Anolis sagrei: one gene and its partners. The protein of the gene in region 3 binds, or shares a complex with, the protein of the main gene of each other region. Links are inferred from orthologs where the notes say so. Each region holds a gene or a part of one and is shown on either strand. Other genes may lie near its edges.

Region 1 (8,485 bases), on a different chromosome or scaffold from region 3:
AACTGAGGGAGAAAGAAAGAAAGAAATAATGGAAGGAAGGAAACGAATGAAATGGAAAAAGGGACTTTGAGAAGAGAGGTGGTGGAGGACAGAGAAGCCTGCAAAGGAAAGCCACAGCATATAATGCATCTAGGTTTTAGAATTAATGCAGTTTGATCACACTTGAACAACCATGGCTCAGTGCTATGGAATGACAGGAGTTGCAATCTGGTAAGGGGCCAGTACTCTTAGGCAGAGAAGGCTAAATACCTTGTCAAACTACAACACTGAGCCATGGCACTTCCAAGTGGGGTCACACAACATTCATTCCACAATGTCCATGCACCCAGTGTAGAATTTAAAGTTTGACACCACTTTAGCAGTTGTGGCTCCATGCTATGGAGCCCTAGGATTTGTAGTTTTATCAGCTTTTTAACCTTCTTTGCGAAAGATTGGCAGTGCCTGACCAAATGACACTTCCCACTATTCCACTATTCCACAATATTGAGCCACGGTTGTGAATGTGAGGTCAAATTGCCTTTATTCTAAAGTGCAGGTGCATCCTGTGATTCCTTGTTTCTTGAACCTGTAAATCACTTCAGGGGCCCTTTCACACAGCCTTATATCCCAGAATATCAAGGCAGAAAATCCCACAATATCTGCTTTGAACTTGGTTATTTGAGTCCACGCTGCCATATAGTCCAATGTGTATAGGGTTGTGTGGAAAGGCCTTAGGTTTATTGGGAGTATATTGAGAGTAGGTATATTGGGAGAAAGGTGGGATAAAAATGAAGTCAGGGTGGATCTACACTTTAGAATGGATGCAGTTTGACCCCACTTGCACAGCCAGGGCTCAGTGCTAAGGAATCCTGGGATGTGTAGTTTGGGGAGGAACCAGCACTGTGAGCCCTCAGTGGCACAATGGGGTAAACCAGTGGATCTAAACCTGTGGGTCCCCAGATGTTTTGGCCTTCAACTCCCAGAAATCCTAACAGCTGGTAAACTGATTGGGATTTCTGGGAGTTGAAGGCCAAAACATCTGGAGACCCACAGGTTGAGAAACAATGGGTTAAACCCTTGTGCCAATAGGACTGCTGACTCGCTCCAGGGAGAGCACAGATGAGCTCCCTCTGTCAGTTCCAGCTCTCCATGTGGGGACATGAGAGAAACCTCCCACAAGGTTGATAAAACATCAAAACATTTGGGCACCCCCTGGGAAATATCCTTGCAGATGGCCAATTCTCTCACACCAGAAGCGACTAGCAGTTTCTCAAGTTGCTCCTGACCGGGGTGGGGGGGGGGGAAGCACTGTGTGGCAGAGAAGGCTCAAGACCAGGCCTGGGCAAACTGGCCCTCAAGGTGTTTTGGACTCCCAACTCGCACAATTCCTAACAGCCTCAGGGTGCTTTCCTTTCGCTTAAGCGACTGAGGCGGGGGGGGGGGGGAGTAAGGGGCCTGAGGCTGTTAGGAATGGTGCGAGTTGAAATTTGCCCATGCCTACTCAAGACCTTGTCGGCCTACAAGCTCCCATGGTGGCACAGCACGGATCCCTGGCAGCTAAAATGGAGTCAAGCTGCAGTGATGCTAGATGCGCCCTCAGGGCCATTGCAATGTCAAGTGAAGGGGAACTCCCAGGCTGAAAGAGAAAACACAGAAGGGGGGGGGGGGCACACGTGCTGACACCACAACATCCTAGCCTTTCTCTATCCAGCAGTGGAAAACCCCAGGACTGACAAAAGGGCAGGAGGTCAAGGTAAGCATTTGGAAAAGATGGGGTTCAATTGGCTCTGGGAGACTCCATGGCTAAAGCAGACCTAAAAGTAAGCCTAGGCCAGGCATGGGCAAATTTGGCCCTCCCTCCAGGTGTTTTGGACTTCAACTCCCACCATTCCTGAAGTCCAAAACACCTGGAGGGAGGACCCAAGTTTGCCCATGCCTGGCCTGCCAGCTGTTAGGAAAGGTAGGAGTTGAAGTCCAAAACACCTGGAGGGAGGGCTGAAGTCTGCCCATGCCTGGCCTGCCTAGTGTTAGGACTTATGGAGGTTAGTCCAAAACACCTGGAGGGAGGGCTGAAGTTTGCCCATACCTGGCCTGCTGACTGTTATAAATAGTAGGAGTTGAAGTCCAAAATACCTGGAGAGAGGGCCTAAGTTGGCCCATGCCTATCCTGCCGGTTGTTGGGAATGGTGGGAGTTGAAGTTCAAAACACCTGAAGGGAGGACCAAAGTTTGCCCATGCCCAGCCTTCCAGCTGTTAGGAAAGGTGGGAGTTGAAATCCAAAACACCTGGAGGGAGGGCTGAAGTTGGCCCATGCCTGGCCTCAGAGTGTTAGGAATGGTGGGAGCTATAATCCAAAACACTTGGAGGGAGGCCCAAAGTTTGCCCATGCCTGGCCTACGGGATGTTAGGAATGGTGGGAGTTGAAGTCCAAAGCATCTGGAGAGAGGGCCAAAGTTTGCCCATGCCTGGCCTGCCGGCTGTTAGGAAAAGTGGGATTTGAAGTCCAAAACACCTGGAGAGAGGGCCAAAGTTTGCCCATGCTTGGCCTGCCGGCTGTTAGGAAAAGTGGGAGTTGAAGTCCAAAACACCTGGAAGGAGGGCCGAAGTTTGCCCATGCCTGGCCTCGGACTGAGATCAAGCCTTCCTCATCCTTCTCAGGCCGGCCACCTACCTTTCCTTCCTTCCCTCTCTTCCTCCAAACAGCCCCCAAAGAAGCCCCCCCTCAATTGGAGAATGAGCGCCGGACTCACCTCGCTCCTCTGCAACCTGCGGAGAGGGGGAAAGGGGCGGGCTGTGGAGGGACTCCCTTGCAAGTCCGGCGCCCGTGGAAGGAAGGACACGGGGCGCCCTCTCCTCTCTCCCCCGGAGAGAAGTGGGCTGAGCCTGAGGGCCACAAGCCCACCGAAAGCGCTTCCAATCGGGAGAAGTCGCCGCCGCCTCCAACTAGGGCTGAGTCCGAGTTCCTCTTGCAAACTCCTCGCGTGTTTCTTTGTAGCAGCCCTCTCTCCGTGTGTGTGTGTCTCTTTCTCCCTCGCGCACATAGATAGACAGGCACACAGGCACACACACACACACACACACACACCCTCCGCCGCACTGCGTCTGCGCGCTGCTGCCCCAAACCAACAATGCTTTGCCCAGCAGCCCGCTCCCTCTCCCGCCCCCGACCGCGAGCCTCTCGTCACGTGACCCACCCCTGGGTTTGGGAGGGAGGGTTAAGGGTTCAAACACGCATGGGCAAACTTTGGCCCTCCCTCCCGCCAGGTGTTTTGGACTTCAACTCCCACGGCCTCAGGCCCCTTCCTTTTACCCCTCAGCCGCTTAAGTGGAAAGGGCCTGAGGCCGTGGGAGTTGAAGTCCAAAACACCTGGCGGGAGGGATAGCTGAAGTTTTGAGTTGAAACACTGACCTGTGGAAGGGCACAGGGGAGAGGAGGAAGAAACCCTGCTTGGCACCAAGAAATGACCAGGAAGCAGAGAAGGAAAGCTGCCTCTTGGCTAGCTTCCAGTCCCAAATGGAAAGTTGTGTGCAGAACCCAAACTCCAGAGAAAGAAGGCTGGCCCTGGCTCCATCCAAACAGCACCTTTCCTATGGGACAATCTATATATATATATGAAATACCTGATCATCTCAACAGGTGGGAATTACCTGTAAGGCAGCTTGAAAACTAAAATCTGTGAATATATATATATATATACAGAAGTAAAGGTAAAGTTTTTCCCTTGACATTAAGTCTAGCCGTGTCCGACTCAGGTTGGTGCTAATCTCCAATTTTAAGTTGAAGAACCGGCATTGTCCATAGACACCTCCAAGGTCACGTGGTCGGCATGAATGCATGGAGTGCTGTTACCTTCCCACAGGACTGGTACCTATTGATCTACTCACATTTGCATGTTTTTGAACTGCTAGGTTGGCAGAAGCTGGGGCTGACAGCATGAGCTCGCCTCACTCCCCAGATTCGAACCTGCTACCTTTCGGTCAACAAGTTCAGCAGCTCAGCGGTTTAATCCACTGCACCACCAGGGGCTCCCTCTATATACAGTATATACAGTAGAGTCTCGCTTATCCAACATAAATGGTCTGGCAGAACGTTGGATAAGCAAAAATGTTGGATAATAAAGGGGGATTAAGACTGGTTTTCAACCTATGGGTCCCCAGATATTTTGGCCTTCGACTCCCAGAAATCATAACAACTGGTAAACTGGCTGGGATTTCTAGGAGTTGTAGGCCAAAACACCTGGGGACCCACAGGTTGAGAACCACTGGATTAAGGAAAAACCTATTAAACTTCAAATTACATTATGATTTTACAAATTAAGCACCAAAACATCATCTTCTACAACAAATCAACAGAAAAAGCAGTTCAATACATGATAACATTGTGTAGTAATTACTGTATTTACAAATTTAGCACCAAAACATTGCAATGTATTGAAAAAGCTGTGGATCTGGGCTGGAGGCAGACTGTGTTGGATAATACAGAACATTGGATGAGCGAAGGTTGGATGAGCAAGACTCTACTGTAGATACATTTTGGACAGATAATATGATGATGATGATGATGATGATGATGATGATAATAATAATAATAATAAACTGGAGCCCCTGGTGGTGCAATGGATTAAACCCTTGTGCCAGCAGGACTGCTGACCGATAGATCAGCAGTTCGAATCCAGGGAGAGCAGGTTGAGCTCCAGCTCCCCATGCAGGGACATGTGAGAAGCCTCCCACAAGGATGGTAAAATATCAAAACATCCAGGCACCCCCTGGGCAATGTCCTTGTAGACGGCCAATTCTCTCACACCAGAAGCGACCTGCAGTTTCTCAAGTCACTCCTGACACAACAACAACAACAACAACAACAACAACAACAACAATAATAATAAACAACTTTATTTATATCCTGCCCCTCTCCAAAAGGGCTCGGGGCAGCTTACAAATAAATAAATAAATATAAGACTGAAGAAAGAATCCAAACATAATATATAATGACAACATTTTTAAAACATAGCAAACCAAAAATAACAATAGCATAGTAAAATATGCAGATTAAATTTTTTGCTGGATTTAAAAACATATTGCGCACCAGGGCAAAACCAGTTCAAGCCAGTTTGTACAGCTATAAAAAAAACCCACCATCATGATAAGTTATAGTCATTTCCAAATGCCTGCTTCCACGTCCATGTTTTCATTTTTTTTTCCTGAAGCTAGAAAGGGGGCCTGTCTGATTTCTTTGGGAAGGGCATTGCAGAGCTGAGGAGCCACTACCGAGAAGGCCCTTTCCTGCATTTCCAACAGTCGTGCTTGTGAGGATGGAGAGACCATGAGAAGGGCCTCCCTGGAGGACCTTAAGGTCTGAATGGGTTCATAGGGGGAAACACAGTCACGCAAATAGACTGGAGTATTTTAATATCTGGATATAGAATCCATGGATATGGACAGCCAAGTATATAACTTCATAAAGCTAATAAATCTGTCTGCATTGCAGTGAATCTTATACTCACCTAATGTTGGATTTGGGAATATGTTGCACTGTAGAAATTGCTGGACTGCGATTACTATCCCCTTTCAGGTCCTATCTACACTGCTATATAAAATAATAAATATTAATAAAAATTCTTTCTATCCCACCCTCTCTGCGCGGAGGGACTCTGAGCACTATCACAAAACCATATAACCCTGAATATCAAGGCAGAATAACCAGCAATATCTGCTTTGAACTGGGTTATCTGAGTCCACACTGCCATATATCCTGGTTCAAAGCAGATAATGTGGGATTTTATTTGACTGTGTGGAAGGGCCTCAGGGTGGTTTACAACATTAAATGCTGTGAAGTGCAGAAAAACAATAAACAGTTGTAAACAGGTGAGAACATACTAAACAGCAATATCAAAGAATAATCGAATCGGACAGTAAATTAAACATATCTAAAATATGCAATTAGACAATATGCAATTAAAATGGGATTCATAAATTAAAACGATTAATAGTTAAAAATTATTATTTTTCAAACCAGTATAATGAATTTTTTCCATACCCCAATTCCATTATCTATTCAGAACTGGATTATATGGCAGTCTAGACACATAAGCCATGTCAAATGAGATAATCTGGATTATCTGCTTTGATTTTTTTTATTGTATCAGAAGCGATGTAAAAAACTGCAAGTCCCTTTTGGTGTGAGAGAATTGGCCATCTGCAGAGATGCCCGGATGTGTTACCGTCCTATGGGAGGCTTCTCTCATGTCCCTGCATGGGAAACTGGAGTTGACGGATGGGAGCTCACCCCATCTGTTTTGATACTCCAGATTCAATGCCAGTGTAGATCCAGCCTCACTGACTACTTCGTCTAGTGTTGATAGAACTCGCAATCCAAAATCTCTTGAGGGGTCACACATTTACATATTGTGCAGTAACTTCAGTGAACTGAAGTTTTTTTCAACAGACATATATAACCCAGCAAGCAGAGCTCTTGCCTCCCTCCCCCGGAAAGTGCTTGACTTTGAAAAGTTTGTTTCCATTCTCAGCTAACCTTTTTTTTACAAATTGAATTAATTTGGCTATGGGATATGGCATAAAAGAGTTTAAGTAGCTGTTCCATCCCCTCTTACTTTTCACTATAGCAGAAAAAATAAACTTGTCCTTCTTATTATTTGTGTAGGAACAGGAGCTTGTTTTTCCACTGAGCAAGCGCTGCCTCTTTCAGATGTCCTCTCGCCAGAGTCTCTGACGGGCAGTGACCTTGGTGAAAAGCTGCTGCGTTACTGTGACAACATCAACACCATGTTCCTGTTCTCAGGGGGTGCAACAGATGTCTGCATTATACAGTAGCCTCTGTATAATGATGTATCTAAACAAATGATGTGTCCCCAGGCTGTTCTTTCTAAAGCAACAACACAGGTTCAGCTCATCGGCCTAACTCTTCTTACTGAGTAAAAATTATCTTGCCTGATCTCTGTACTTCATAACTTTTGCAGATCTTGATCTCTTGGCTTGGAAATAACTTATATGGTGAACGTGGGCAGATACTATACAATAACCAGCAAAGAGTGCAGAGTTCAGTTTCTGAAAAATTCATCCTAATTCATAATCTAGTGTAGACATCATGCGCTTTCTTGATATTGGGGAATCTGAGGTGATAGGCTCAAAAATAACCCTCAGTTGGGGTGATTCCACGATAAATATAGCAGCGTACCAGAAGTAAACTTCATAACCAGCAGAAACTTACATGAGGCAAGCTGGGATAGGCTTCTATTCTCCAGGATGGCTTAGGATTGCAGAGTCAGAACTTTAGGTTCAAACATATTTATTGAAGTAAAAGTAATACATTCTTGATAGAAAAGGTCTTGGAGTTCACTAGCTTACAAGTCTCATCTTCTAAAGGAGGTAAAAGGTAAATAGTAAATCCATGCAGCTACATTTTGCCTTTATCCAGGCAAAATGTAGCTGCATGGATTTACTATTATCCTTATAGGTAGAAAGAAGGGCAGAAGTCTGAAAATGGTGGAGACCACATAGTCAACCCAGGGGAGTTTATACTTAAGAGGAAGTTCCCTCGCAGAATTCCACTCCTACGTCATCAAAAAGGGAGGAGACAGTGGATAGCAGAGAAGAGGAAAGACAAAGTATTAAAAAACTAAAATTATAACAGTAAATAAAAAACAAAACTCAAGCACAGGGAAACTCCAGAGAAAAAACAATGTCATGTATCATGTTCTGCAGTTGATGGTGGTTGGTGGTGGTAGGCCTAGCAGTTGGCGATGGAAGGCTTAATGTAAGTCTTAGTTCTAAAGGGTTGAGTAACCTGGACGTAAGAGTTCATGGGTGAAAGCAATTAAGGGTGGGGGTATGCAAGAGATGGTTTGCAGCTGGGTGTTTCTGGATATAAGGAGCTAGCTTTGGGACTGATCTTCAGGAGAAAAGTATTTGTCTAATCTTGGTGCTAGATGCTGCTGGTTTTCCCCCGGGTTTGTGGATTTTTTGGTGTCATGACCTGTCTCCTGAACCTTTGGAATCCGGGGACCTTGAATCTTTGGACTGGCTTTTGACTACGGTATAGACTCTTGATCCCTGGACTTTGCTGATTGAACTCTCAGCGTTTGACCATTGGACTGGACCTTTTGACTTATCTTGAACCTGCAACTGTTTTTGTTTTATATTCTGTGGCTGAGTGCAATCTTCATGTTTTAGATCTTGGACTATTAAAGCAGCCAGAAAGTAAGTGCTGTTTTAATTAAATTGCTTGAAACAAACTGGGTATTGGTTTGGTTCATCTCTACCTGAATAAGGCAGAGCCCTTGCATCATGACAAACAATCAGGAACAGCTAATCACCTCTCAACTAAGAATTCCCCCAGGCAGTAAAAAGGCACACCTAAAAACTGTCAGGCCATCAAATGCTAATCAAGTTGGCCAGTTGAAACATTCACACCTAGTTCCAACAGATAAGAATTCTTTCTCCCACCTTGGACCTTCCACAGATATATAAACCCAATTTTCCTAGCTTC
Region 2 (7,925 bases), on a different chromosome or scaffold from region 3:
CCTGGGATTTCTGAGTTTTTCCAAACTCAGAAGAGTCAGAGGTCTGGAGAAGTTGCAGTGTGACACAATCTTCAGCCTCTTCTGCCAAAGTGCAGGTGCTTCACCAAACAATAGTTCCCAGGATCCCATAGCATTGAGCCTTTGCAGTTAAAGTTGTGCCAAACTGCATCACTTCTACGGAGTAGATGGATCCCAAAGTCTAGATACATGTTCTTTGCAACTGTCCCCCATTCTGTCTTTTTTCATCTATATCAGTGTTTCTCAACCTGGAAATTGGGACCCGGGGGGGGGGGGGGGGTCGCAAGGGGGTGTCAGGGGGGGGGGTCGTTAAAGACCACCAGAAAACACAGTATTTTCTGTTGGTCATGGGGATTCTGTGTGGGTGTTCGTTTGTGGGGTTCAGAATGCTCTTTTTTTGTAGGTGAACTACAACTCCCAAATGTCAAGGTCTATTTTCCCCAAACTCCACCAGTGGTCACATTTGGGCATATTGAATATCCGTGCCAAGTTTGGTCCAGATCCCTCATTGTTTGAGTCCACAGTGCTCTCTGGATGTAGGTGAACTACAACTCCCAAACTTCCAATGCACACCAAACCTTTCCAGTATTTTCTGTTGGTTATGGGAGTTATGTGATTCAATTTCATCGTTGGTGGAGTTCAGAATGCTCTTTGATTGTAGGTGAACTACAGGCATGCAGCTGGGGGGTTGGGGGGCTTCAGCCCCCCCCCCCCCCCGAAATTCTGATGGTGGTCCGTGAGAAGGCCTTACTGGTACATTATTTAAACTGTTATGTTTATTCATATCATGATCTGATCACCATGATCAATATATCCCATATGCATGGGGGTATTGGGGTAACAATACAAAAGGTTTGCTAGGGTAGACCCTCTTTCACTCAGACTCAGCCCCCCCCCCCCCCCCGAAACAAAATCCTGGCTACGGGCCTGGTGAACTATAAATCCCATCAGCTACAAAATCAATCCAAACCCCACCAATATTTAAATTTAGGTGTATTGGGTATTTGTATCAAATTTGGACCAGTGAATGAAAATACATCCTGCATGTCAAATATTTACATTGGGATTCATAACAGTAGCAAAATTATGATGCAGCAATGAAAATAATTTTATGGTCGGGGGTCACCACAACATGAGAAACTGTATTAAGGGGTCACGGCATTAGGAAGGTTGAGATCTATATGTTACGTGTGAGCTTTTTATGGTTCTTTTTTATCTTTTACGATCTCACTCATTCAGCAATGCATTTGATGGCAAGACTGGTTTCTGGGTAAATACGGTTAAGATCCGGTTAGGCTGCAATTGAGGCTTATTGTTTACCGGACCGTGAAATCCCACACGGGACATTTCTTTCCCAATAATTGCTGGGTTGAGGTCGTGCGGAGGGACACTCAGTACTTTTCCATGTTGGAGAATATCGGGATGTTCAAAGACTGAGGGTGTGTTTGCTTCTCCGTGTTTAAAAAAGATGGCTTCAAGGATTGGGGGAGGGGGAAACAAATTTTTGAAAAGCCACTCATTCTTGGCATATGAATCACAAGCTGAAAAACGTCGGTCATAAGTTTTCTGACATTAACATGAATTAGGATGACAGATGAAGAGGCCAGTGTGGAGTGCAATAGAGTTGGTCCTCTCAACATCTGCGGGTTTCAATTTTGCAAATTTGACTATTTGTGGGTTTAATTAATAAATCTGGGGGGTCTAGAGCAGGTATGGGCAAACTTTGGCCCTCCAGGTGTTTTGGACTTCAACTCCCACAATTCCTAACAGCTTACCGGCTGTTAGGAATTATGGAAGTCCAAAACACCTGGAGGGCCAAAGTTTGCCCATACATTGCCTAGAGATTCCTAGAGACAATACTTCCCTTTAAGTCAGTGGTTTTCACCCTTCCTAATGCAGCAACCCCTTAATATAGTTCCTCATGTTGTGGTGACTCCCAACCATCAAATCATTTTCGTTGCTACTTCATAACTGTAATTTTGCTCCTGTTGTGAATCATAATGTAAATATCTGATATGCAGGATGTATTTTCACTCACTTGACCAAATCTGGTTCAAATACCTAATATGCCCAAATTTGAATATTGGTAGGGTTGGGGGGGGGGGGGTATTGATTTTGTCATTTGGGAGTTGTAGTTGCTGGGATTTATAGTTTACCTACATCCAGAGAGCATTCCGAACTCCACCAAGGATGGAATTGAACCAAACTTGGCACACAGAACTCCCATGGCCAACAGAAAATATTGAAAGAGTTTGGTGGGCACTGACCTTGAGTTTGGGAGTTGTAGTTCACCTACATGCAGAGAGCACTGTGGACTCAAACAATGATGGATCTGGACCAAACTTGGCACGGATACTCAATATGCCCAAATGTGAACAATGGTGGAGTTTGGGGGAAATAGATCTTGCCATATGGGAGTTGTAGTTTCTGGGATTTATAGTTCACCTACAATCAAAGAGCATTCTGAACTCCACCAACGATGGAATTGAACCAAACTTGGAACAAAACTCCCATGACCAACTGAAAATACTGGAAGGGTTTGGTGGGCACTCACCTTGAATTTGGGAGTTGTACTTACTTACTTACTTAGGCGATCCCTCGTTGGACGAGTAAGATGGTCTTCCATTATGCGTTTCCTTGTGGGTTCGTAGGTGGCTGTGGAGCCCTATTCTTGACCTGCATCTTCTCCCACAGTGAGGGCATTGGTTTCCAGGTGGAAGGCGGTCCCAGTTGGGGTTGGTTTGACGCGCCTTCCTCCTGGCACGTTTCTCTCTTTCGCCCTCCACTCGTGCCTCCTTGAATTCTGTAGCACTGCTGGTCACAGCTGACCTCCAGCTGGAGCACTGAAGGGCCAGGGCTTCCCAGTTCTCAGTGTCTATGCCAGAGATTTTAAGGTTGGCTTTGAGCCCATCTTTAAATCTCTTTTCCTGTCCACCAACATTCCGTTTTCCGTTCTTAAGTTCAGAGTAGAGCAACTGCTTTGGGAGGCGGTGATCAGGCATCCGAACAACGTGGCCGGTCCAGCGGAGTTGATGGCAGAGAACCATAGCTTCAATGTAGTTCACCTACATCCAGAGAGCACTGTGGACTCAAACAAAGATAGATCTGGACTAAACTTGGCACAAATACTCAATATGCCCAAATGTGAACACTGGTGGAGTTTGGAGAAAATAGACCTTGACATTTAGGAGTTGTAGTTGCTGGGATTTATAGTTCACCTACAACCAAAGAGCATTCTGAACCCCACCAACAATAGAATTGAACCAAACTTCCTACACAGAACTCCCATGACAAACAGAAAATACAGTTTTCTGACAACTCCTCTGACACCCCCCCCCCCCACTCTGCTTTAAGTGTCTGCAGGTCCTCCAGAATTCACTGGAGGATCAAAGTGCATCTACAGTGTAGAATGAATGGAGTGTAAAGCCACTTTCATCTACCATGGCTCCATGCTTTGGAATCCTGGGATTTGTAGTTTGGCGAGACTCTAGTACTTTGGCTTTAAAAAAACTTGAAAACTACAACTCCCAGCATCCCATAGTATTGAGCCTTTGCAGTTAAAAGTGATATCAACCCTCATTAATTCTAGTGTAGATGCACCCTAAGTAAGTACACCTCCCTAAACTGCAAATCCCATTATTACATTGGAATTATGACTCTATACATTACATTGGACCCCTACAGTCATGATAATTATAGAGTTCCAAAACCCTTCTTATTGTAGAATGAGTGCAACTTGGCTGCAGACTATTGGGAGTTGTAGTTTCACAGGGTCTTGAGCCTTCACTGTCAAAGAGCAGTGAAGGCTCAAGATTGGTGGATTAGTGGTCCACCAATCTACAGCTCCCAGGGTTACATAGCATTGAGCCTTGGCAGTTAAGTGAGGTCAACCCGCACTAATTCCACAGTGTAGATGCACTCAAAGCAAGTACACCTCCCTTAACATTTCATCGAAATAATGACCCTATAAATTACATAGGACCCCTAAAGTCAGGATTGTTATAGAATCCCAAGTTTCTTCTTAATGCAGCTTGGCTGAAGAATCTTGGGAGTTGTAGTTTCACAAGCTCTTGAGCCTTCCCTGTCAAAGAGGACTGGTGATCCACCAATCTACAGCTCTCAGCATTGAGTCTTGGCAGTTAAGTGAGGTCAACCCGCATTAATTCTACAGTGCAGATGCACTCTAAGCAAGTACACCTCCATAACAACAAATCCCATCATTTCATTGGAATTATGACCCTATAAAGTACACAGGATCCCTAAAGTCATGATAATTATAGAGTATCAAGTCCTTTCTGAAACAATCTTGGGAGTTGTAGTTTCACATGATCTTGAGCCTTCCCTGCCAATGAGGACTGGTGATCCACCAATCCACAGCTCTCAGGGTTCCATAGCCTTGAGCCTTGGCACTTAAAGCGCTGTCAAAGCGCATTGATCCTACATTGTAGCTGCGCCCATTGAAAGTGGCCTTACTTCCGGGAGCTAAATCCACCTGCGCCAGCAAAAATGGCGTCCTGAGGCCACGCCGCCGCTTGGGAAGGCGACACGCCCACGCCTCGTGCGGCGGGAAGGGGGCGTGCCGATGCTAATTAAAAGGGCGGCCTCCTCCAATGGCGTCCCGCCTTGAGCTTTGGGAGGCGGGGCTAGCCCTGGGTGAAACGTGGGCGAAAGCGGAGGTCTGTTTGAAAACAAGCGGAGGAGGCGGTGACCGTGGTGGAGGGACCCGCCGGGGAAGGAGGCAGCGGCCCTTCGGAGTCTCTGCAGCCAGGGGGGAAAAAAAGGTGAATTTCCAAACATTTTTGAAGTGTTGACCCCTTGAGGAAACCTAAAAGGAGCAGCCTAGGAGTGCAAAAAAAACAAAACCCCAAAACAAACCAGGGGAGATCTACACTGTAGAGTTGATGCAGTTTGATACCGCTTTAACTGCCATGGCTCAGTGCTATGGAATCCTGGCTTGCTTGGTGGGATACCAACTGATTCTTTGGCATCTAAAGACCTTTGCAAAACTGCTAGATTCCCAGGATTACATCACATTGAGCCCTGGCAGCTAAAGTGGTATCAAACTGCATTAATCCTACAGTGTAGATGCACCCTTGAGCAAGTGCTGAAAAGACCCGATGTTTTGGACTCTGTTTGTGGTACGAGGGACATGTAACTGATCGTTGGCTCTCTTGGTGTTTTGGATTGTTTATATTGCTATTATTTGGATTGTTTATATTGTTATTATTTGGGTTGTTTATATTATAATTCAAGATTTAAGGAAGCCAAGCCAGACCTCTTGAGATCTGATCCTAGAGATGCCAAGGATTGCCATGGGGTGCACCTGCACTGCAGAATTAATGCAGTTTGACATCCCTTTGTTCAGTGCTGTGGAATCTTGGGATTTGTACTTTGGCATTCTTTGTGAAACTACAACTCCCAGGATTCCATAGCATTGAGTCTTGGCAGTAAAAGACTTGTGTGCAGCCCATGTTTTGGATTGTATTTATTTCGGTGTCTCTGGTGCGAGAGATATGTCACTGATTGTTGCCTTCCTTGGTATTTCAGATTGTTTATATTATTATTGTTGTTATTATTCAAGAATTAAAGAAGCTAAGCCAGATCTCGTAAGATCCGATCCTATAGATGCATAGGATTGCCATGGGGTGCATCTGCACTGCAGAATTAATGCACTTTTGACATCACTTTAACTTCCATTGCTCAATGCTGTGGAATCTTGGGATTTGTAGTTTGGCATTCTTTACTGTGAAACTACAACTCCCAGGATTCCATAGCATTGAGCTTTGGCAGTTAAAGTGGTGGCAAACTGCATTAATTCTGCCATGTAGGTGCATCCTATGATGCAAATGGGAATCACGTTTTTGCTTGTAGTGCAAGTCCTGTGCACCTTTCCTCCTAAGTTAGCTCTGTGCCTATCTTTACAAAATGTACACAGCATTGCAGCCTTGAATGTCAGTTTTATAGGGAATGTGCTGCTTTCAATTCAATAGGACCTTCATAGGAAGCAAATTTTCTTTGAACCTAGCAGTTCAAAAACATGCAAATGTGAGTAGATCAGTAGATACTGCTCTGGCAGGAAGGTAACAGCGCTCTGAGCAGTCATGCCGGCCACATGACCTTGGAGATATCTACGGACAACGCTGGCTCTTCGGCTTAAAAATGGAGATGAGCACCACCCCCCAGAGTCGGACACGACTGGACTTAATGTCAGGGGAAAACCTTTACATTTATCTTGTAATTTCAAGTTACTCAATGGTGGTTTTAAATTGTATTGTGCTGTTGTTTATTTGTTTATGCTGTTTTATGAATTTTAATGCTTCATATTTTAACCCCACGTAAGCCGGGGAGATGGAGGCGGGATACAAAAATACAGTTATTATTATGGGTTTTTGTGAGTTTTTTGAGCTGCATGGTCATGTTCCAGAAGCATTCTCTCCTGAGGTTTCGCCTGCATCTATGGCAGGCATCCTCAGAGGTTGTGAGGTCCTCACCATAGATGCAGGCAAAACATCAGGAGAGAATACTTCTGGAACATGGTCATACAGCCCGAAAAACTTACGACAACCCAGTAGTTCCGGCCATGAAAACCTTCAAAAATATATTATTATTATTTGAAACATAACAAGATGAGTCCACAGTTGTATTGAATCACACGTCAGACACTTCCCAAGTGTCTATAATAATAATAATAATAATAATAATAATAATAATAGTAATTATTATTATTAGTATTATTTGAAACACCACAAGATGAGTCCACAGCAAACACTCTGCTGGCTGTTGTATTGGATCACACATTGGACACTTCCCAAGTGTCTAGGACTGTGTGATGTATAAGCAAATAATGCGTGCAGATCCCAGTTATTATTATTATTATTATTATTATTATTATTATTATTATATGTTTTTGCAAGGTGGTTTGCAGGGCAAACTCATCCAGCTCCTTGGTGGGACATGTATCCAAGGTGCATAGGAATGCAACTTGACTTCATATAAAAAGAAATTGGTTTTATTACTTTATGAAAAGAAGGTAGATGGGTGTGTGTATGTGAGAGAGATAATAGATGTGGAGTGCTGCTTTTCTTTAGTGGTGCCTCTACGTTGCAAATTTAATGAAGTTTAATGTGTTGTCGAAGGCCTTCATAGCTGGAATCACTGGGTTGCGTGAGTTTTCCAGCTAATCACTAATCAACAAAGGATTCCCCCAGGCAGGTAGCAGCCAAGCCTTGAAGCTGCAAAGCTTTTCAGTGCTACTCAAGGTGGCCAATTGCAGCATTCACACTTGCCTCAAACAGACAAGAGTTCTTTCTCCCACCCTGGATGTTCCACAGATATATAAACCCCACTTTCCTTGTTTCCAACAAACTACACAACCTTTGAGAATGCCTGCCATAGATGTGGGAGAAACAACAGGAGATAATGCTTCTGGAACATGGCCATACAGCCCGGAAAACTAACAGCAACTACAAGAGCTTGCCTTCCCTAATTCTTCTAATATTTGATAGCTTTAGTGTACTCAGGAATTGAAGTTTTGTCTCTTTTGTAGGAAGTCTATACTCTTTTGACACAACTTAAACTCCCAAGGCTCAGTGCTATGGAATCCTGGGATTTGTAGTTTGGTACTCTTTGGCAGAGAAGGTTAAAGACCGCAGAGAACTACAACTCCCACAATTCAATAGCATGGTACGTGCATCCACACTGTAGAATGAATTGCAGTTTGACACTACTTTAACTCATATGGCTCAGTGCTGTGGAATCCTGGGAGTTGTAGCTTTATCACAGTCATGGGAAAATTTTGGCCCTCCGGGAGTTTTGGACTTCAACTCCCACAATTCCGCTGTTAGGAATTGTGGAAGTTGGAATCCAAAACATCCAGAGGGCCAAAGTTTGCCCATGCCTGCTTTATC
Region 3 (7,752 bases):
ATTATATTGCTTTTCCATCAGGCCATTGTTTTTTCTCCTTTTAAGATCAAGGCTACATTCTTGTCAATTCCTTATCTTCTATTTTCCTGTCTGGACAATCTGCACATACGTATTGTATTGTGCCCTCCCCTCCTATCCTTTAGAAAGGAAGTTAAAAACTGGTTATGGAACCAGGCATTTGGAGTGTAGCACAGGGCTATAGGCAGCTACGAAGTGACGGCGTTGCGATTGGAACGGCTTCTGGAGTGTTTTCAGGTCTATGTGTACTGTTTTTAACAGCTTAATGAATGTATTTATATGTTAGTGTTTTGGAACGGCTTCTGGAGTGTTTTCAGGTCTATGTGTACTGTTTTTAACAGCTTATTGAATGTATTTATATGTTAGTGTTTTATGATTTCTATGATATATTGTATTTTTTGAGCTTTTATGTTAATAAATTCCATCTGAACATGAAGAAGAACTTCCTGACTGTGAGAGCCGTTCAGCAGTGGAATTCTCTGCCCCGGAGTGTGGTGGAGGCTCCTTCTTTGGAAGCTTTTAAACAGAGGCCGGATGGCCATCTGTCAGGGGTGATTTGAATGCAATATTCCTGCTTCTTGGCTGAATGGGGTTGGACTGGATGGCCCAGGAGGTCTCTTCCAATTCTTTGAGTCTATGATTCTATGATATATCTGTGGAATATCGGCTGAGGGGAAAAGGAAAAGGCCTGAGGCTGCTAGGAATGATGGGAGTTGGAGTCCAAAACACCCCCAGGGCCCAATTTGGCTGAAAAAGTTCTGAGGCTGCTGGGAATGATGGAAATTGGAGTCCAAAACACCCCCAGGGCCTTCAGTCTCTTGAATTATGTTTCTCCCATCGATATAGTTGGCCCTCGAAGGTGGCAACACAGCTCTGCCGCCATTTTTGACCCGAAAACACCATTTTGGGCCTCCCAGACCGGAAGTTCCGCCGGCCTCGCGCCCTTCCTTCCTGACATCCGGGTCTTTTCCCAGCGCGCGGGGCTCGAGGCCTCTGCGGCGCCTCCCACTTCCGGAATTTCCTTATAAGGCCAGCGAGGCCCCGCCCTTTTTTGCTCGCCTGCGGCCACGGGGGCCGCGTGACGTCACGGGCAGCCGAAAAGTTCCCGGATGCAGAGCGGCAGGACAATGGGCAATGGAAGGAGAGAGGAAAAAATGGACGCGCCCAAAAAAAGGGGGGGGGGAGGGGAAAATAAGGAGATTCTAGGATTCACAACTAATGGAATTTCCCATTCGAGAATAGAGATGGGAAAAGGAGATTCTAGGATTCACAATTTCCAACTAATTGGATTTCCCCATTAGAGAAGGAATTCGGGAATGGTTTCGCCTTAGCGTGCCTCCCCATTAAGGGAATGGTCTCGCCCAAGCGACCCAAAGAAATGATTTCCAACGAAGAGGTGGAAAATGGGTTTTCTCATTGGAGAATGGCGGAAGGGGTCGAACTGAGCGTCCTCCTAAAAAGGAATGGTCTCGCCCAAGCGTCCCTAAGAAACAAGACGCTGGGAAATACCAAGTGTTTCGGGAGGGGTGGGTAGAGTTGGGGGATCGGGAATAGGTTCGCCTGAGCGTCCCCCGTTTAAAGGAATGGTCTCGCCCAAGCGTCCCAAAGAAACAAGGCACTGGGATTCACCAAATGTTCCGGGAGGGGCGATTAGAGTTGGAAATGAGGGGTCCCCCGTATATAGGAATGGTGTCGCCCAAGCGTCCCAAAGAAACAAGGCGCTGGGAAATACCAAGTGTTTCGGGAGGGGTCGGTAGAGTTGGGGGATCGGGAATAGGTTCGCCTGAGTGTTCCCCGTATAAAGGAATGGTCTCGTCCAAGCGACCCAAAGTAACAAGGCACTGGGATATACCAAATCCTCCAGGAGGGGGGATTACAGTTGGAAACGAGGGTCTCGCCCTATAAAGGAATGGTCTCTCCCAAGCGTCCCAAAGAAACAAGGCGCTGGTACATTCCAAATATTCCGGGAGGGGTTAAGAGTTGGAAATGAGGATCCCCCGGTATAAAGGAATCGTCTCGCCCAAGCGCCCCAAAGAAACACGGCGCTGGGAAATACCAAATGTTCCGGGAAGGGGGGGTTAAGAGTTGGAAATGGGGGGAAAGGAACCATTGTGTAAGAACGAGAAAGTTGTGTAAGAACGAGACGCAAAATGGCTCCTCGCGTGGGGGAAAGGAGAAGCGACGCCGTGCACATTCCACGAAAAAAAGTGGAAAATACAATTTAAAAATAATAAACAACCCCCCTCGGAAATTAAATGGACTCGTCCGCCATGTAGGAAGCCAACGGGAGGGACGAAACTATTTTAGAAATGGAGGGGGGTCGCAATTCCACTAAGGGCACCCTCGAAATTTAATGGATTCGTCCGCCATGTAGGAAATCAACGGGAGGGACGAAACTATTTTAGAAATGGGGAGGATTGCAACTCCACTAAGGGCACCCTCGAAATTAAATGGATTCGTCCGCCATGTAGGAAAGCAAAAGGAAGGGACGAAACTATTTCAAAAATGGGGGTGAAGTGGGTGCGCGAAATGCGGGGCGAGGTGGGATTGCAACTCCACTGAGAGCGCCCTCGATGCGCGAAATGGCGCCGAGGAGATAGGCCAAGGCGAAGGCCGCGCCAACGCTCGAGGCCTACCTCTCCTCTATTTTTTCTCACCACCACCCCCGGAAAGGAAATGGTTCCGCCCAGAGGTCCATAAGGGACTAAAAGGGCGAGGGAGAGTCCAATCCGTTTTTAGGGGGGGAAAGCGGGAGGGAAAGGAATCGGCCACGTGGTCAGGAAGAAAAGGGAACTTAAGGCCAAAGGATGAAAAAAAGGTCACGAAAATGAAACAAAAGCAAAATAATAACACCCAGGATTGTTAAAATAGGAATAACGAGGGATTTCTAATATTATCCCACCTACTGCGGAAATGGTTTGTTCCACCGCGGAGGGAGGATGGAAGGAAGAAGGAACAGCCGCGGCCTAGCGCGGAGGGGGGGGGAGGGGGAGAAGGGAAGAGCCTTCCCTCGCGCTCACTCACCGGCTCTCTTGACTCGCAGACATTCTGGGCAGAAAGGTCCTAGCCCCGCCCGCTTCACTCCACCTTATAACAGCCGCCTAGTCCCGCCCACCGGCCCCTCCCTTATTGGCCCGCAGGCTAAGTCCCGCCCCTTGTTTCCCCTCCTCCTATTGGACCATCGCACTGCCCGTCAGCTAGACCGGCTTCTCTCTGATTGGCTGCCCTGTTAAAAAAAAAACACACCCCGCGTCAGGCGTTGACGGAGACTCGCGCTGATTGGTTGAATCGCCGGAACTGGGTGACGTCAAAGTGGCGGGGCTTACTGAGAAAGCTGGAGACGTGACGTCAAGGAGGAGAAAGGCGACGCTGATTGGCTCTCCGCCGCGCCTGTCAGGAAGGGGCGGGAAAGGAGGTAGCCAATGGGAGGCGAGGAGGAAGGAGTAGGCCCCAAAGCAGGCCAGGAGAGGAAAAAGCCCACGTGGTGGAGAGGCCCTTCTTTGTGGGGGGCCAAATTAGGAAGGGTTCCAGTCGTTGCAAATAGGAACTACAATTCCCAGGATCTTCCGGGGGATTCTGGGAATTGTAGTCCAAATGGGAACTGGGGGATTCTGGGAATTGTAGTTCAAATGGGAACTGGGGGTTTCTGGGAATTGTAGTCCAAATAGGAATTGTAGTCCGAATAGGAATTGTTGCAAATAGGAACTGCAATTCCCAGGATCTTCTGGGGGATTCTGGGAATTGTAGTCCAAATAGGAACTGGGGGATTCTGGGAATGTACTCCAAATAGAAATTGTTGCAAAAAGGAACTACAAATCCCAGGATCTTTCCGGGGGATTCTGGGAATTGTAGTCCAAATAGGAATTGTAGTCCGAATAGGAATTGTTGCAAATAGGAACTACAATTCCCAGGATCTTCTGGGGGATTCTGGGAATTGTACTCCAAATAGGAATTGTTGCAAATAGGAACTACAATTCCCAGGATCTTCTGGGGGATTCTGGGAATTGTAGTCCAAATAGGAACTGGGTGATTCTGGGAATTGTAGTCCAAATAGGAACGGGGGATTCTGGGAATTGTAGTCCAAATAGGAATTGTAGTCCGAATAGGAATTGTTGCAAATAGGAACTACAATTCCCAGGATCTTCTGGGGGGTTCTGGAAATTGTAGTCCAAATAGGAATGGTTGCAAATAGGAACTACAATTCCCAGGATCTTCTGGGGGATTCTGGGAATTGTAGTCCAAATAGGAACTGAGGGATTCTGAGAATTGTAGTCCAAATAGGAATTGTTGCAAATAGGATCTTCTGGGGGATTCTGGGAATTGTAGTCCAAATAGGAAGTGGGGGATTCTGGGAATTGTAGTCCAAATAGGAATTGTTGCAAATAGGAACTACAATTCCCAGGATCTTCTGGGGGATTCTGGGAATTGTAGTCCAACATCAGCATGGGAAAGGGTTCCCATTCTTTTCCAATCCAGCATGATAGCCTTTCAAATGCCCATAGCTCTATGCTATGGGGTTCTGGGAGTTGTAGTTTCCCAAGGCCTTGAGCTTTCTCTCACCAAACTACACTCCCCAGGACTCCAGAGGTATCAAACTGTATTAGTGTTACAGTGTAGATGTGCCTTTTAATGCAGGCATGGGCCGACTTCGGCTCTCCCTCCAGGTGTTTTGGACTTCAACTCCCACAATTCCTAACAGCAGGAGACAACCCCAATGTGGTCTATACCACTGGTCACTTTTCTCCAGGACGAAAGAGAGCCACTGGTCAATACTCTTTGGCCAATGTGTTGTCGAAGGCTTTTATGGTCGGAATCCTGGGAGTTATAGTACTCAAGGGGTAGTGCATAATATGCTTGTAGTTGGCCTCTATAGAAATAGAGTGCTGGGATGGAGAGTGGCAGCAACAGCATCCTCCCTGATTTCAATTTTAATTTCTGGAGTGAAAGCTTGTGTTTAAAGGGTTGTTGTGAGTTTTCTGGTCTGTCAGGAAGCATTCTCCTTCCTGACGTTTCATCCACACCTATAGCAAGCCCAGCTAACCCAATCAGGGCCAGCTAACACGTCCCAACAAAGGATTCCCCCAGGCAGGCTTTGACAGTGCAAGGCCATTCAATGCTAATCAATCTGGTCCATTGCAACATTACTTCCAATTTTAATTTTACATTTGGCCTTCCCACTGTTTAATTGTGTGTTGTCTTATTGATAATGTTGTATATTTTATTGTCTATGTTTTATTTTAATTTGCTTGTAGTTGTTATTGCTTGTATTGTTGTATTTGGGCTCGGCCTCATGTAAGCCGCACCGAGTCCCTTAGGGAGATGGTAACGGGGTACAAATAAAGTGTTATATTGATTGATTGATTTGTCGTGTCAGGACAACCAGTCAAATTATATTACATTTCTAACAGAACAAAGCAAACAAACAGACAAAATACAAAATTTGTGAGTTTAGTAGTTGGTTAAATGTCCTTTGACCCGTATCTGTCCACTTGGAGTGCTTCTGGTGTTGCCGCAAGAAGGTCCTCCATCATGCATGTGGCAGGGCTCAGGGTGCATTGCAACAGGTGGTCAGTGGTTTGCTCTTCTTCACACTCGCATGTCGAGGATTCCACTTTGCAGCCCCATTTCTGAAAGTTGGCTCTGCATCTCGTGGTGCCAGAGCGCAGTCTGTTCAGCGCCTTCCAAGTCGCCCAGTCCTCTGTGTGCCCAGCGGGGAGTCTCTCATTGGGTATCAGCCATTGGTTGGGGTTCTGGGTTTGAGCCTGCCACTTTTGGACTCTCGCTTGCTGAGGTGTTCCAGCGAGTGTCTCTGTAGATCTTAGAAAACTATTTCTAGATTTAAGTTGTTGACGTGCTGGCTGATACCCAAACAGGGCATGGGCTGGGGATGTCTCTGCCTTGGTCCTTTCACTATTGACTGCAACTTCCCAGCAGATGTCAGGTGGTGCAATACCAGCTAAGCAGTGTAATTTCTCCAGTGGTGTGGGGCGCAGGCACCCCGTGATAATGCAGCATGTCTCATTAAGAGCCACATCCACTGTTTTAGCGTGGTGAGATGTGTTCCACACTGGGCATGCATACTCAGCAGCAGAGTAGCACAGCGCAAGGGCAGATGTCTTCACTGTGTCTGGTTGTGATCCCCAGGTTGTGCCAGTCAGCTTTCGTATGATATTGTTTCTAGCACCCACTTTTTTGCTTGATGTTCAGGCAGTGCTTCTTGTAGGTCAGAGCACGGTCCAGAGTGACTCCCAGGTATTTGGGTGCGTTGCAATGCTCCAGTGGGATTCCTTCCCAGGTAATCTTCAGAGCTCGGGATGCTTCTCTCTTCTGCTTCTTCTTCTTCTTCTTCTTCTTCTTCTTCTTCTTCTTATTATTATTATTATTATTATTATTATTATTATTTACACTTGCCTCAAGCAGACAAGAGTTATTTCTCTACCCTGGATATTATTCCACCTATATATATTCCACTTGCCTAGTTTCCAATAGACCTCACAACTTCTGAGGATGCCTGCCATAGATGTGGGCGAAACGTCAGGAGAGAATGCTTCTGGAACATGGCCATACAGCCTGGAAAACTCACCAACAACCCACTTTTTGGCCAGTCAACCAGTTCCCAATCCACCTCACAGTTGTGCTGCCTAGCTCATGTTTTGCAAGCTTCTTTCTGAGAATGTCACAGGGAACCTTATCAAAGGCCTTCCTGAAATGGAGATAGGCCCCATCCACAGCCTTCACTGCATCTACCAAGCGTGTAACTCTGTTCAAAAAACAGAGATAAGGTTTCTCTGGCATGACTTTTTGAGACACCCATGTTGACTTTGAGTGAACACGGCCTTCCTTTCTAGGTGCTTACAGAGCACCTTTTCAAAGACCTGCAATGATCAAAGGATGGAGGGTATTGGGTTGTTGTAGGTTTTTTTGGGCTGTATGGCCATGTTCTAGAGGCATTCTCTCCTGACATTTCGCCTGCATCTATGGCAAGCATCCTCAGAGGTAGTGAGGTCTGTTGAAACTAGGAAAATGGGTTTATATATCTGTGGAAAGACCAGGGTGGGACAAAGGACTCTTGTCTGCTGGAGCTAGGTGTAAATGTTTCAACTGACCACCTTGATTAGCATTTGATGGCCTGGCAGTGCCTGGGGGAATCTTTTGTTGAGAGGTGATTAGATGTCCCTGATTGTTTCCTCTCTGTGTTGTTGTAGGTTTTTTCGGGCTATATGGCCATGTTCTAGAGGCATTCTCTCCTGACGTTTCACCTGCATCTATGGCAAGCATCCTCAGAGGTAGTGAGGTCTGTTGGAACGAGGAAAAATGTGTTTATGTATCTGTGGAATGACCAGGGTGGGACAAAGGACTGTTGTCTGCTGGAGCTAGGTGTGAATGTTTCAAATGACCACCTTGATTAGCATTTGGTGGCCTGGCAGTGCCTGGGGGAATCTTTTGTTGAGAGGTGATTAGATGTGTCTGATTGTTTCCTCTCTGTTGTTTTGGTATTGTAATTTTGAGTGTTTTTTTAATACCAGTAGCCAATTTTGTTCATTTTCATGGTTTCCTCCTTTTTGTTGAAATTGTCCACATGCTTGTGGATTTCAATGGCTTCTCTGTGTAGTCTGACGTTGTTGGAGTGGTCCAGCATTTTATTTGAGGACACAGAAATGCTGGACCACTCTCACAACCACCACGTCAGACTACACAGAGAAGCCACTGAAACCCACAAGCATGTGGACAATT

The links.
Region 1: the proteins of EIF4A1 (region 3) and KANK1 are in contact, whole or in part, in a crystal structure (PDB 7DDX), measured with the Mus musculus proteins. The link is inferred for Anolis sagrei from reciprocal best matches to the Homo sapiens genes EIF4A1 and KANK1. Residues at the interface, in NP_659207.1 of Mus musculus: Lys99, Val140, Arg141, Val144, Gln145, Lys146, Leu147, Gln148, Met149, Glu150, Ala151, Arg168, Arg169, Tyr170, Ser172; in NP_852069.4 of Mus musculus: Gly1168, Asn1169, Asn1171, His1175, Tyr1176, Val1178, Asn1201, Lys1202, Ala1203, Tyr1205, Met1209, Leu1210, Leu1213, Ala1214, Ala1215, Gln1240, Ala1241, Leu1248, Ser1251, His1252, Arg1254, Asp1273, Glu1274, His1285.
Region 2: the proteins of EIF4A1 (region 3) and PDCD4 are in contact, whole or in part, in a crystal structure (PDB 2ZU6), measured with the Homo sapiens proteins. The link is inferred for Anolis sagrei from reciprocal best matches to the Homo sapiens genes EIF4A1 and PDCD4. Residues at the interface, in NP_001407.1 of Homo sapiens: Gln75, Thr109, Arg110, Glu111, Ile135, Gly137, Val140, Thr158, Gly160, Arg161, Asp164, Glu186, Leu188, Ser189, Arg190, Gly191, Phe192, Gln195, Ala214, Thr215, Met216, Pro217, Glu240, Leu241, Thr242, Asn280, Thr281, Arg282, Arg283, Thr329; in NP_055271.2 of Homo sapiens: Pro170, Gln173, Glu174, Glu177, His178, Glu183, Glu186, Met187, Asp190, Leu209, Glu210, Lys212, Glu249, Leu250, Leu252, Asp253, Thr254, Pro255, Arg256, Gly320, Gln321, Gln322, Ser323, Val324, Leu327, Glu348, Lys352, Glu355, Val356, Pro357.

What each region holds. Positions count from the first base shown.
Region 1 is NC_090022.1:221,264,209-221,272,693, forward strand, and holds the start of KANK1 (KN motif and ankyrin repeat domain-containing protein 1), read right to left. Parts: upstream 3,122-8,485; 5' UTR 2,730-3,121; intron 1-2,729.
Region 2 is NC_090023.1:209,438,756-209,446,680, reverse strand, and holds the start of PDCD4 (programmed cell death protein 4), read left to right. Parts: upstream 1-4,691; 5' UTR 4,692-4,799; intron 4,800-7,925. UniProt on the Homo sapiens protein: Inhibits translation initiation and cap-dependent translation. May excert its function by hindering the interaction between EIF4A1 and EIF4G. Inhibits the helicase activity of EIF4A. Modulates the activation of JUN kinase.
Region 3 is NC_090026.1:3,281,170-3,288,921, forward strand, and holds the start of EIF4A1 (eukaryotic initiation factor 4A-I), read right to left. Parts: upstream 3,118-7,752; 5' UTR 3,066-3,117; coding exon 3,043-3,065; intron 1-3,042. UniProt on the Homo sapiens protein: ATP-dependent RNA helicase which is a subunit of the eIF4F complex involved in cap recognition and is required for mRNA binding to ribosome.